Sus scrofa: one gene and its partner. Each later gene encodes a partner of the first gene's protein in a complex. Links are inferred from orthologs where the notes say so. Each region holds a gene or a part of one and is shown in the gene's direction. Other genes may lie near its edges. The genes, in order: ELMO1 and RHOG.

Region 1 (3,822 bases):
CTTCCTTCCTTTCTCTCTTTCTTTCTTTTCTTTCTTTCTTTCTTTCTTTCCCTTCTTTCCTTTCTTTCTTTCTTTCTTTCTTTTTTTCTTTCTTCCTTCCTTCCTTCCTTTCTCTCTTTCTTTCTTTCCCTTCTTTCCTTTCTTTCTTTCTTTCTTTCTTTCTTTCTTTCTTTCTTTCTTTCTTTCTTTCTTTCTTTCTTCCTTCCTTCCTTCCTTCCTTTCTTTCTTTCCTTCTTTCTTTCTTTCTTTCTTTCTTTCTTTCTTTCTTTTCTTTCTTCCTTCCTTCCTTCCTTCCTTTCTTTCTTTCCTTCTTTCTTTCTTTCTTTCTTTCTTTCTTTCTTTCTTTCTTTCTTTCTTTCTTTCTTTCTTTCTTTCTTTCCCTTCTTTCTTCCTTCCTTCCTTCCTTCCTTTCTTCCTTTCTTCCTTTCTCTCTTTCTTTCTCTATCCCAACTGAAAGGTATATATGAAAACCTTTACTGAGTAGATGAGAAATACAGAAGACACATTATTATCTGGAAGTTTAACTCCTCCGATATATTTCTGTCCCTCTCTGTGCTACATGTAGACGCCAAGTGCAAATGCCTTGAAAAAAGGAGAACTCTAATTCTAGGCAAAGCTGCCACTTTGTTTGCCTAATTATTTTGTTTTAAATTCATGCAATAAATAACTAATGTATGTGAAACACACGTTGTTGAAAGGTGGAATTTGCAAGCCCCACTGTGCTGTGCTGAAAGATATTCAGTAACCCTGAAAAATTATTTGGGTGTGTAATGAAACTTTTGAACATTGTGTGTAGGCAGTTATTACTCAGAGTATTGACTGAACCGGGTGAACATGCTGTATAAATTTGTGTAATTGCTTAATTAAGCAAATAGCTTTTTGTCACTTATAGATAATCATTTTACTACAAAGTAAACATTCTCCCCATTTTCCCTGCGCACTGCCATCATTGCCGGAGCGTCCCTGCTCCTGAGCTGTCGCTCTTCCATGGGATGGACGTATGGGTTCTGTTCAAAGAAGGCGACAGATGCCTATTGTGACATTGACAAGCATCGCGTGAAGGTGGGGTCACGACGGCTGGAACCCTGCCCTTAGCCTGTAATAATTCATCTAAATAATGTATCTTCATTTTTCAATGACATGTTACTTTTCTGTCCGTTGTGGATTCCACTGAAGACTCTTTGCTTTGTTTTTGTCCCCGGTGAGGCTCAAAACGCCCAGCAGCTCCATGAACGGATTCAGTCGTCGAGTATGGACGCCAAACTGGAGGCTCTGAAGGACCTGGCCAGCCTGTCGCGGGATGTCACGTTTGCCCAGGAGTTTATCAATCTGGACGGCATCTCTCTTCTCACACAGATGGTGGAGAGCGGCACTGAGTAAGCGTCTTTTATCTCGATTTCCATCTGCCCTGTACTTTCTTAATGACAGTCTGGGTGTCTGTTATTTTCCTTATACTAGCAATTTCTAGTTTTAATTACCAGAAATGACTAGGCGCCGGGGAAAAAAATTGGCTTTTAAGATAGTGTGTGGGGTGTGGTTTGTAATTTAAGTATCACCACATTCTCCACCCACCGACTAGCCAAGATCTAGGACAATATCTGACATTTCATATTTATAAGGAAAAATATTAGGTCATTATCTCTAAGGGCCTTTCCAACACTAAAATTACAATTCTTACAAAATAGAAATCCCTCATATCCCTTGCTTATCTCCAAGAACATTTTTATTCCCTGATTCCATTTAAAAAAGTATAAGAACACCTCCTTATGTTTCAAAGTCTTAAACCAGGTCAAAATAACATCCCTGAAGTAATTTAAAAAAATTAACATTGACTGATGAAATATGTGTCCTTAATTATTTACCGTTAAATACAGAAAATATTCATTCGGTATCTACATATGCAAAAAAGTAGAAGTTGGGAAAATTTGAAAAGATCAGAGTTCCCGTTGTGGCTCAGCAGGTTAAGAACTTGACATACTATCCGTGAGGATGTGTGTTTTGATCCCTGGCCTCACTCAGTGGGTTAAGGATCTGGTGTTGCCGCAAGCTGCAGTATAGGTTGTAGACGTGACTCTGATCTGGTGTCACTGTGGCTGTGGCGTAGGCTGGCAGCTGCAGCTCCAATTCCACCCCTAGCCTGGGAACTTAGGTGTGGCCCTAAAAAGGAAAAAAAAAAATTTGAAAAGATGTGAGCCTAACCAACCAAAAATTTATGGAGGCACAATTCAGTTGAGCTACAACTCCTTCTGAAGGCTGGGAGTCTAGAGGTCGGACCAGTTGTATCTCATGAACCTGACAGGGATTGGAGTTCTGTCACAAGCGAGGAAGGGATGGGCGGGTTTTGTTTGTTTGTTTTGTACTTTTAGAGCCGCACCCGTGGCATATGGAGGTTTCCAGGCTAGGGATCTAATCAGAGCTGTTGCTGCCAGCCTACACCAGAGCCATAGCAATGCCAGATCCGAGGCGTGTCTGCAACGTACCCCACAGCTCAAGGCAACACCGGATCCTTAACCCACTGAGCAAGGCCAGGGATCGAACCAGCAACTTCATGGTTCCTAGTCGGATTCGTTTCCACTGTGCCAGGGTGGGAACTCCGTGATGGGCATTTCTGATTGGTGCCCTCACCTCAGGGAAGGGTTTGATTCTCTGATGTGACTGTGGCGTCTAAGGAGCCATGTGGGTCTAGCTTTTATGAATGGACAGATAACTCGCTTGACCAGAGTAGCCCGGTGGGGTCTACAGGACCGGCTCATTTCCTATAGACAGGTGCTGCTGGCAGAGACCATTAGAGCGTGCAAGTCAGCACGTGAGAATGCAGAGCCCACTAACTACACTGTCTGTATTCCACCATATAAATGATGTGCAGCGTTGGGATAGGTGTTTACTAGGGAAGAATAAATAGCATTGAGAATTGGGGTTTCAACCTGGCTCCGTTAAACCTCTCTTCAGTACATAGTGATTTAAAGAACGACCTGATAATCACTATGAAAAATCTGGGCTACTGAGCCCCCTGCCTCCATCCCACTGCCACACCTTTGTAATAATCACTTACGGGAATTTCATTTTCTGGGCTTAACTAAAACCCAACCATCTTACCCACTCAGAATCCACACCACCATGATGCTAGGTTGACACCCAGCTAGAGAATATAGTAGAATCATAGGTTGTAGTCTTATGCCTGGACTCATTCAAAGTAAGGAGACAGTATAAGGCCATCATATTATGAAATAAATGTACCTAATGACATCATCTTAAAATGCATTTTATCTCTGAAACACATGCTAAAGAATAGTGAGGTCGACTCAAACTTTCTTTTTTTAATTGTTAAAACGCATGATTTTATAAAAGTGAAAAAAAAAAAAGAAGAAGAATGACCTGATGACTGTGTATGGTAGAGATGGGTCTCGGCCCACTCCTTTCCTTCCTTCCTTCCTGTCTCCTCCTACACTTGGCATTATTTAGCATCTGCAATTGGCACTAATAAAAGATTCTTTTTTTTCTTATTCAAAGAGAACATGTTTTATAACAGCAGGAATATCTCCTATATAAGAACGTTCTCCAGAGTTTGGAGTTGGGGGGGGTCTTACTTTACAGACAAGTATAGAAAATATCTAGGAATGAAGAGGGGAAAAAGGCAAATCCAAGAGGACTGGCCAGCAAGACTAGGTGATCTGGAAGGGGGCAATTGTAGACGGGTATCCGTTATTTTTTTTAATGATGGCTAAAACTCTTAGTACATTTTTGGCAAACATCAGCTTGGAGTAGGGCAGGAGAGCTGAGATTCTGGGTGTTAGCAGAATCCAAAGTAGTTACTATAAATTG
Region 2 (2,676 bases), on another chromosome or scaffold:
ACCCTTCCTACGTGTTTTATTCCGACCAACCCCAGCCCCGAAGGCAAGCTTATCCGTGTCCTACGGAGGAGAAGATTTGAGGCTCAGGAAACATAAACACGTTGCCTGAGACCATACAGGACCGGCTGGGGGAGCTGTGGTTCGAGTCCCAGCCAGTCTGTTCCAGCCTGTGTGTGTTCTCAGCACTCGTGCTTTGTGGTACTTCATTCTCTACCCACGAGTCTGCCAGCCCCTCGGATTCTTCAGAGGCAGAGGCCGTGGTCTCAGAAAAGGGAATTAAGGGGAAAATCGAAGGTCGGCCTCACTCCACCTTGAGACGGGATGCAGACATCGGGAGCCACAGCCTCTGCCTCCTTCCATCGTGATGTACAAGGTTCCAGACCCAGTCCCAGCCCCGGCTCAGTCGCCAGTGGTCTCCGGCCCTGAGTTGCCAGGCTGGCTGTGTGTGGCCAGATGGGGTTTCCTGTGCTTCCAGGAACAAGGGGGTGAATTCTTCCTCCTTTTCCCCACGGCAGGGTACCCGGGATGAGATACAGCCACTGTCTAGAGAATTGTGCTTCCTACTCAACAGGTTTCTCCCTGCACCATTTGGGTTGCCCTCACCAGGGTGTCAGATTTAGAACTGAAACATCAGCGTGTTAGGCGGGGCTGGCCCTGAGTTGAGAGGGGCTCCATCCATGGCTGCATCTCCTAGGGACCCGGACGGCTGTCCTGTGCCGGAAGCCCTCCCCAGTCTGCTCAGCACGGGGGCTCCGCGGCTGACGGAGGATCTGGCCGGTCTCTACGCTTATGCCCCTCCTTTTTATCTACACTTAGATAAAAAGCAGGAAAAAGAAAAGCAGCGCATGATCACTGACGGCTTGTTATGACCCGGCCTGTTCCAAATGCTCTGCATGTGCTGACTTATATATATAGACTTACACACTCCTCCCAGCAACCCACTGGGGGAGCTATTATTTTACTCCCGTTTTACAGATTAGAACAATGAGGCATAAAGAGGTGAAGCAGCTTGTCTGGGGTCATACAGCTAGGAGACAGCAGAACCAGATTTTGCCCTTCGCGGTCTGGCCTCAGAACTCAGATGCTTCACCTGCTCTATCACACGCCCCAGCCCCAGCGCCGTACCTCCGAGCATCTCCGCTTGGTCTCAGACGACTCTCTCCCATCATGTGTCTGTCTCTCTGAGTCTCTCTGATAGGATTTCGGGATGGTGTCAGGTTAAAAAGAATGGGTTTCCCTCTTTTTTTTTTTTGCCTTTTCTAGGGCCGCTCCTGGGGCATATGGAGGTTCCCAGGCTGGGGGTCGAATTGGAGCTGTAGCCGCTGGCCGACGCCAGAGCCACAGCAACGCCAGATCCTTCGCCCACTGAGCAAGGCCAGGGATCGAAGCTGCAACCTCCTGGTTCCTAGTCAGATTCGTTAACCACTGCGCCACGACGAGAACGCCTGGTTTCCCTCTGTATGCCATCTTTTCTTGCCCGTGGATGGCGGACTCCCTAACACGAGTCCCTCTCGTCTGTCCCTAGGCCAGAAGGGGAGGGAGGCACAGCCTCCGCTGCAGCAGCCGCACCCGCGATGCAGAGCATCAAGTGCGTGGTGGTGGGCGATGGCGCCGTGGGCAAGACGTGCCTGCTCATCTGCTACACGACCAACGCCTTCCCCAAGGAGTACATCCCCACAGTGTTCGACAATTACAGCGCCCAGAGCGCAGTCGACGGGCGCACCGTGAACCTGAACCTGTGGGACACAGCGGGCCAGGAGGAGTACGACCGCCTCCGCACACTCTCCTACCCTCAGACCAACGTCTTCGTCATCTGTTTCTCCATCGCCAGTCCGCCCTCCTATGAGAATGTGCGGCACAAGTGGCATCCAGAGGTGTGCCACCACTGCCCCGACGTGCCCATCCTCCTGGTGGGCACCAAGAAGGACCTGAGATCCCAGCCTGACACCCTACGGCGCCTCAAGGAGCAGGGCCAGGCGCCCATCACGCCGCAGCAGGGCCAGGCGCTGGCCAAGCAGATCCACGCTGTGCGCTACCTCGAGTGCTCGGCCCTGCAGCAGGACGGCGTCAAGGAAGTGTTTGCTGAGGCCGTCCGGGCCGTGCTCAACCCCACGCCCATCAAGCGTGGGCGGTCCTGCGTCCTCTTGTGACCCTGGCACTCAGCTTGGAGGCTGCCCCTGCCCCCCACCAGTTGTGCCTTTGTGCCTTGGCGCCTTGTCTGCCCCCAGCTGTGCCTTAAGGACTAATCCTGGCACCCCTTGCCAGGGGGCTCCCCGAATGCCTTTCGCTCCTTAAGGAGGCCCATGGGGAGAGGGGCTTTGGGCCCCACCCCACTCCGTCTGGGAGCACCAGGTATTCTTGAGAGCTCCCCCAGGCCGAGGTCGGACCCCTCCCCAAGAAGCCAACCCAGCGCCCCCTCCCTTCTGAGCAGCTGATCCCGCTGTCCACGCAGATGTCGCTGCCAGTTGTGGTGCTTTCTCAGATTGGAGCTCTGGCCGTCCCCGACCTCTCCCCGCTGCTCTTGGAATCGCTCCCCTCAAGATGCTCTCCCTTCCCAAGAAGGAGCCACGGAATCCTGAGAAGATCCATGTGCCCTACCCTACGCCCCTGTGCCCAGGCCTTCTGCGCCCGCTGACTGACTTGGCCCCCACCCCACCCCCTCCGGGCTCCTGGGGG

The links.
Region 2: the proteins of ELMO1 (region 1) and RHOG are in contact, whole or in part, in a crystal structure (PDB 7Y4A), measured with the Homo sapiens proteins. The link is inferred for Sus scrofa from reciprocal best matches to the Homo sapiens genes ELMO1 and RHOG. Residues at the interface, in NP_001193409.1 of Homo sapiens: Lys9, Val10, Ala11, Glu13, Tyr18, Pro19, Leu21, Met22, Ala54, Asn71, Gly72, Ile74; in NP_001656.2 of Homo sapiens: Val36, Phe37, Asp38, Trp56, Tyr64, Arg66, Leu67, Leu70, Ser71, Pro73, Gln74.

What each region holds. Positions count from the first base shown.
Region 1 is NC_010460.4:36,964,214-36,968,035, forward strand, and holds part of ELMO1 (engulfment and cell motility protein 1), read left to right. Parts: intron 1-1,206; coding exon 1,207-1,376; intron 1,377-3,822. UniProt on the Homo sapiens protein: Involved in cytoskeletal rearrangements required for phagocytosis of apoptotic cells and cell motility. Acts in association with DOCK1 and CRK. Was initially proposed to be required in complex with DOCK1 to activate Rac Rho small GTPases.
Region 2 is NC_010451.4:6,292,655-6,295,330, forward strand, and holds RHOG (rho-related GTP-binding protein RhoG), read left to right. Parts: upstream 1-1,574; coding exon 1,575-2,150; downstream 2,151-2,676.